Saccharomyces cerevisiae S288C: one gene and its partner. The protein of the gene in region 1 interacts with the protein of each later gene in a pairwise test. Each region holds a gene or a part of one and is shown in the gene's direction. Other genes may lie near its edges.

Evidence for each region.
Region 2: the proteins of CTH1 (region 1) and WTM1 interact in a two-hybrid assay, tested with the Saccharomyces cerevisiae proteins (one study listed by BioGRID).

The regions. Positions count from the first base shown.
Region 1 is NC_001136.10:763,678-767,350, reverse strand, and holds CTH1 (putative mRNA-binding protein CTH1), read left to right. Parts: upstream 1-2,195; coding exon 2,196-3,173; downstream 3,174-3,673. Other genes in the region: ENT5 (Ent5p), read left to right, coding at 1-615; GIR2 (Gir2p), read right to left, coding at 848-1,645; NUM1 (Num1p), read right to left, coding at 3,477-3,673. UniProt on the Saccharomyces cerevisiae protein: Binds to specific AU-rich elements (ARE) in the 3'-untranslated region of target mRNAs and promotes their degradation. In response to iron deficiency, promotes the decay of many mRNAs encoding proteins involved in iron-dependent pathways.
Region 2 is NC_001147.6:768,490-772,613, forward strand, and holds WTM1 (transcriptional modulator), read left to right. Parts: upstream 1-2,310; coding exon 2,311-3,624; downstream 3,625-4,124. Other genes in the region: WTM2 (transcriptional modulator), read left to right, coding at 1-1,323; mitogen-activated protein kinase kinase MKK1, read left to right, coding at 4,112-4,124. UniProt on the Saccharomyces cerevisiae protein: Transcriptional modulator with roles in meiotic regulation and silencing.

The DNA.
Region 1 (3,673 bases):
ATTTCAACGTCTGCAAGTTACGATAACATCGACGACGATGAATTTGATGCAGATGCAGATGGCTTTGACAGTGAAATGGATGCTAATAATGTGACCAACTTCAATGTTCCTGTGGAAACAGAAGCAAATTCGAATACTCGCAGGCGTTCTCATATGGAAGAACAAAGAAGACAAAGAAGGGAGATATTAAGAGAGCAGATCAAAAATAAAGAACAGCAGAGGAAAAGAAAGCAACAACAAGATAGCATCCCTGACTTAATCGATCTTGACGATAGTACTAGCACCACGAATAATATAACAATAGACAATGGTAATAATGACAACAAAAACAATAATATCAACAGCAATAGTGATGATGATGATGATGAGTTTGGCGACTTCCAAAGCGAAACGAGTCCCGACACAACAGCACCTAAAACTTCCAATAGTAAAATAGATGATTTGCTTGACTGGGATGGCCCAAAGTCAGACACAGATACCACCGCTGCTGCGCAAACATCATTGCCCTTTGCGGAGAAAAAACAGCAAAAAGCCCGTCCTCAGGCTACAAAGGACAAGTCGAAGGGAAATGATGCATTTTCCGACTTATTCTCTTACTCCAAGTCGTTGGTCTAATCACCAAATACCCCTTCATCTCCCAATACATTCAATACAGTCAACAAATTTTCATTCTCAGATATATGTATCCATATATACACTAATAATATCTTACTAAAAACTTGTCTATTTCCTTCTTCAAATGTCAGTTTTCTTTTTATTGAATATCAAAAAAATATTATATAGATACATTTGTATATGTCATTATCCATGCAGAAGAAAATACTTAAATACTTAAGTACACAAGTATTTATTGATTTGCTATTTCGGTCTTGGCAAGTCCCTTGGCTACGTCATCTACACTCGCGTCATCCTCTTCCATATACTCGTCGCCTGTGCCCACCACGCCTTGTTCAAACATTTGCTTACCGGTTAGCTTCCCATGATGAGCCTTCATCCTTCTCACCTGGTCTCTTTCATCCAGTTTCAGTTCTTGGCGAAATTTAGACCTCCATTCCAAGTACGATTCTCTTGTGACTTTAGTACCATGGAACTTGGCCTGTTCCTTCTTTTCACGTTCTTGTGCTTCCAGCTCGTACTGCTTCTCGAGCTTATTCAATTGTTCACTATACCATTGCTCACATCTTTCTTTTATGGATGAAATCAATGCAAAACACATTTGCATACCCAATAACATATCGGTTTCGATTTGCGATTCTAATTGTACGGTTAATTCAGGCAAGTACCCCTTAAAGCTTATTAAATCTGGCAGGTTTTCAAACTTTTTCAGTACTTTATTACCATGGTCGTCATATTCAACCTCGTCTTCATCTTCCTCGTTATCTTCTTCGTTGTCATTGAGGGCTACTTCTTGAGCTTCCAATGAAATCAGGCATGGTTCGTCAGGGTAGTTTTCTGGTAACTTGAATTCGGCGATTATAGTGTGCTCTTTGGTTAAAACAGAAGTAGAATCACCTGTATCCAGCTCTAATTTAATGGCTACTTCAAATTTAATCTTTGGGTATTCATCGTTTATGATCCTCAGTTCATCAGGATAAATGGACTCTAAAACTTCTAGTTCCTGCTTCTGTTCTTCCTTATAATCCATAGTATTAACAAGTGCCTTCTGGATATGGAGGGAGGGCTTTTCCTTAAATTATACCAACCGACAGCATGGGAAACTCAGCTCTTTAAAGCCAATCTAACGATGCCTGCTGATTTTACAATTGGAAAATAGAAAATTTTCATTTTCCACCTTCTGTTACCCGAGTTTATAGACCTAGGATTTCCAATCATTACTTATTAGGACATTCGGGAAAAATATACATATATGGCCCACTTCTCTCACATCTCTTTTAGGGTCTGTGCCAATGGCACCCAAATTTTTCTTCTTTCTTTTTCGCTCGTATTCTCTCACGCTCTTGATCAGTGTGAGCAGTTACTAATATACTGGATCAGAGAACATTAACTCAAAGGTTGATAGTGTAGATCATTGGACATAGTGTGACGGTTTTGCACTCTTGTTGCGCTTGCTCTCTTAACAAGTCACATCTTATTTAGCCTCTTCACCCATAAGTTGATTGTAAAGCCGTAGAACCCTATATCACAGTCTCTTCGGCAACTCAACCAATAAGAACTATTAAGGATTAACACTAGCCATGATGCCGAATGTTGCTCCAAACAGCTACTATTTAAACATACCGAATGCCAATTCGACCTCAACGACTACGTCCTCGATCTTTTCTGATCTCAACAAGGAGTACGAGTCAAAGATTAAAGAAATCGAAGAATATTATATAAAGACACTGCTCAATGAAAATACCGATAATGATGACAGCAGCAGCTCCGAGGGGCATAATATAAATGAAACGGACATTTTAAGTGAATACTCACCAAGGCCTTCTCCTTGGTTACCATCCAAACCAAACTGTTATCATCCGTTGGGAGATTTTAAAGACTTGATCATATCAGATTCCAGACCTACAAATACATTACCTATTAATAACCCTTTCGCAGGCAATAATAACATCTCAACACTTGCTACAACTGAGAAAAAACGTAAGAAAAGGTCACTCGAAGTTGAGATTAACCCTACTTACACGACAAGTGCATTTTCATTACCCCTGACAGCGGAGAATTTACAAAAACTATCTCAGGTGGATTCTCAGTCTACTGGACTTCCATACACACTTCCAATTCAGAAAACAACAAAACTGGAACCTTGTAGAAGGGCACCTTTGCAGCTTCCTCAATTAGTCAATAAGACCTTATACAAAACTGAGCTCTGTGAATCTTTTACTATTAAAGGCTATTGTAAGTATGGAAATAAATGCCAATTTGCTCATGGTCTTAATGAACTGAAATTCAAGAAAAAATCAAACAATTATAGAACTAAACCTTGCATAAATTGGTCGAAGTTAGGCTACTGTCCGTACGGTAAGCGTTGCTGTTTCAAACACGGTGATGATAAGGACGTTGAAATATATCAAAATGCTAACGATGGAAGAAGTAAGGATACGGCGTTGACTCCACTTCCTACTTCCCTAGCCCCAAGCAACAACGATAATATCACTAATTTGAGTAAGCCTAGGAACTTACATACTAGTGTTAAAGCATTGCAAAGGATGACTTGGTAGTCGGTCAACAACAAAGCCCTTTGAATATTTGGCGTATTTCTGCTGCCTCTCCTTATTTATTTATTCATTATCGTTTTCATATTTATTTCAGTCACAAAACAAAATTAAAGAATTCGTGACCTACTAACATGAGAATTAGTTAATTTAATCTTTTTAGTTTATTTATTTCATTAGGTAGAATTTTTTTTTCTTTCTCTGATCTTTCAGTGTTACTCATCGGTGGCAAACGTGTTTACAGGACTAAAAATCGAAATAATGATTATTATTGTTCTTAATTTACTTAGAGTTATTTAGTTTTTTTAACTATCGTAAATTGCCAAATGATCGGCTTTGTGGTACTCTATGTCTTAGAGACCTTGTAGATACGGACCTTCTCGATGCGCTAAGTCTTTTACTGGAGCTCTTTGTATTTTCGCCGGGCAATGGGAAAATCTTTCCTGAATACATATTATCTGTTGGATCATCAGCGATGTCCTCTAAACTTATCCCTTGCATGTTCC
Region 2 (4,124 bases), on another chromosome or scaffold:
TTTAAACCACAATTCAGCACAAGAGTCGACGATGTTTTACATTTTAGCAAGACACTGACATGGAGAAGTGAGATTATTCCAGACAAATCCAAGGGCACCTTGACGACTAGTCTTTTATATTCTCAAGGTAGTGATATTTACGAAATAGACACTACTTTACCATTAAAGACATTCTATGACGACGACGACGACGACGACAACGACGACGACGACGAAGAAGGTAACGGCAAGACGAAGTCTGCAGCCACCCCAAATCCAGAGTATGGTGATGCTTTCCAAGATGTTGAGGGGAAACCATTGCGCCCAAAGTGGATTTACCAGGGCGAAACAGTGGCAAAAATGCAATACTTGGAAAGCTCAGACGACAGTACGGCGATCGCGATGTCCAAGAACGGCTCTTTGGCATGGTTCAGAGATGAGATCAAGGTTCCCGTTCATATCGTACAGGAAATGATGGGCCCTGCTACTAGATACTCTAGTATTCACTCTCTAACCAGACCAGGTTCATTAGCAGTGTCAGATTTTGATGTGTCGACAAATATGGATACGGTAGTAAAGTCACAAAGTAACGGCTACGAGGAGGACAGCATCTTGAAAATCATCGACAACTCCGATAGACCGGGAGATATATTACGTACAGTGCACGTTCCAGGGACCAACGTGGCTCACTCAGTTAGATTTTTTAACAACCATTTATTTGCATCTTGTTCAGATGACAACATTTTAAGATTCTGGGACACAAGAACAGCGGACAAACCGCTTTGGACGCTAAGCGAACCGAAAAATGGACGACTAACGTCCTTCGATTCCTCTCAAGTTACTGAAAACCTATTTGTCACTGGGTTCAGCACGGGTGTCATCAAGCTATGGGATGCGCGTGCTGTGCAACTGGCTACTACTGACCTCACACATAGGCAGAACGGCGAGGAACCGATCCAAAACGAAATAGCCAAGTTGTTCCATTCTGGCGGCGATTCCGTTGTCGATATCCTGTTCTCACAAACCTCTGCAACAGAATTTGTTACGGTTGGAGGAACGGGTAATGTCTACCACTGGGACATGGAGTACTCTTTTTCAAGAAACGACGATGACAACGAAGACGAAGTTCGAGTGGCTGCTCCGGAGGAACTTCAGGGTCAATGTTTAAAATTTTTCCACACAGGTGGCACAAGAAGATCGAGCAACCAATTCGGGAAGAGGAACACTGTGGCGCTACACCCCGTAATCAATGATTTTGTTGGCACTGTTGATTCAGATAGTCTTGTTACTGCCTACAAACCATTTCTGGCCAGTGACTTCATTGGCAGAGGTTACGACGATTAAAAAAAAAAAAGAGTAAGAAATTAACGTTACCACCTATGGGAAAGGCAGTAACTCACAAGCATTCACGTACATAATTCTGTTTTTTTTTTTTTTATTCATTTCTAGCACGCTATCGGGGTTATTTTTTTTTTTGTAATATATAGTGATGGTATAATGTTGTATAGATACTGGTATCGCTCCTAATAAAGACTCTTTCAGATTTCTGAAGCCAACGAAGTAAGGCCTCAAGAAAAGAGGGTTACCAGTAATTAACCAAGCAATTTCTTTTTTTTCTTTCCAGCAAAGAAATAAGACAAAAACCGGCTATATGGAGAAGAGGGAGGATCTAATGGTGACATAGTCCATTTCAAGATTCCCTCTTTCGTTTCTCGGATGAAGCTCGATGTTTACAATTCAGAATCTTAAAAGGCTGTCGCTAAGAAAGACCCAGAGGCACATGCAAGATAGTTGTGCCTGTACCACGTGAGAAGGCGGTATTCAATATGCGGTGCTGTGCTGGCTTCCCTTTTTGGAACGCGCCGGGGTATAACAAAGAAAGGCTAAGTCATACAATAGGCAAAAGACCTTTGTCTTTCCTTTTTTTCCTCTTTCCTAACATACGGTGGTTTATGTACTATCCCTTATGTAATTGCTTAGCTATACACAGTGAGCACACATAGTGGCGCTCACTACTCCCTTTTAATTTCAACTCGTAGATAGTTGGGCTATTTTCCTTCGAATCCTCGTTTATCATCTCATATTTAAGAGTACCATTTCGGGGCTTTTTTTTACCTTTTCCTTTTCCATGCAGTCTGTCCCCTTAATGTTCTATGTTTTTTTTTTTTTTTTTTCAGTTCTGTAGCTTCCAGTATAAAGGGAGGGAAAAAAGAAGATCCGAAAAGTTTATATTCGCCTGAATTGTAGATATTAGATAAGAAAATTAATTATTAATCAACCAATCTTGAAAGATACAAATAAATTGTAACACACTATACATTACAACCAAAAATGCCAAAAAAGGTTTGGAAATCATCTACGCCTTCCACTTATGAACATATCTCCAGCTTAAGACCAAAATTTGTGTCTCGTGTGGACAATGTTCTGCACCAAAGGAAGTCCTTGACGTTCAGCAACGTTGTTGTTCCAGATAAAAAAAATAACACTCTAACCTCAAGTGTTATATACTCTCAAGGTAGTGATATCTACGAAATTGACTTCGCTGTACCACTACAAGAAGCCGCTTCAGAACCGGTGAAAGACTATGGTGACGCCTTTGAAGGTATTGAAAACACCTCGTTGAGCCCAAAATTCGTGTACCAGGGTGAAACTGTCTCCAAAATGGCCTACTTAGATAAGACTGGAGAAACTACATTATTGTCGATGTCTAAGAACGGGTCGTTGGCTTGGTTCAAAGAGGGTATAAAGGTCCCTATTCACATTGTACAGGAATTGATGGGTCCAGCAACCAGCTATGCCAGCATCCATTCTTTAACCAGACCTGGTGATCTACCTGAAAAGGATTTCTCATTAGCCATCTCTGACTTCGGCATTTCCAATGATACCGAAACCATTGTGAAGTCTCAGAGTAATGGTGATGAAGAAGACAGTATTTTGAAAATCATTGACAATGCCGGTAAGCCTGGTGAGATTCTACGTACTGTTCATGTGCCTGGTACCACTGTGACTCACACCGTAAGATTTTTCGACAATCATATCTTTGCGTCTTGTTCAGATGACAATATTCTGAGGTTCTGGGACACTAGAACTTCCGACAAGCCTATATGGGTGTTGGGAGAACCAAAGAACGGAAAATTGACCTCGTTTGATTGCTCTCAGGTTTCCAACAACTTGTTTGTTACCGGTTTCAGTACGGGTATTATCAAGTTATGGGATGCCAGAGCGGCTGAAGCTGCCACCACTGATTTGACTTATAGACAAAACGGTGAAGATCCAATTCAGAATGAAATCGCTAACTTCTATCATGCCGGCGGTGATTCTGTTGTCGACGTCCAATTTTCTGCCACTTCAAGCTCTGAATTCTTTACTGTGGGCGGCACTGGTAATATTTACCACTGGAACACTGACTATTCCTTGTCAAAGTACAATCCTGACGATACCATTGCTCCTCCTCAAGATGCCACTGAAGAATCACAAACAAAATCTCTGAGATTCTTGCACAAGGGTGGAAGCAGAAGATCTCCAAAACAGATTGGAAGAAGAAACACCGCCGCTTGGCATCCAGTTATTGAAAACTTGGTTGGTACTGTCGATGACGATAGTTTAGTCAGCATCTACAAGCCCTATACCGAGGAAAGCGAATAGTCGCCATGCTAAACGCGCGGAACAAGGCCATATTTATATATTTAATGCTTTTAACTATTATTAGTTTTTCTCACCCAGGGCTGGTTTCTTTACCCTGTGTGATGAAAGTGCGCGCCTAAAGTTATGTATGAGCTACTGTTAGTATATTTATTATTCAATATTTAATTAAACAATACTTACTACTGATGAAAGATACCGTACACCTGCTGGCGAATAAGTCACTATACACGAGCAATTATATTTCTCAGGTCATTGCGACAATTGAAAAATCGGATCGACTGATTATCATTAAGGCGTGTGACGGCTCAGAATAAGGAAGTTCTATTTTAAAGGGCAGCAAAAATTTGGCACAATTTAAAAAGAAAGTTGGTCTCTGGTAGGGTTGGATCCGGTTTTTCATAACTTGCGTTTCATTTATGGTTGCGTATTTCTCGCAGTGTACATAGACCAAATTAACTCTATCCTTCCATTGCACAATTTGCCCAGTATGGCTTCACTGT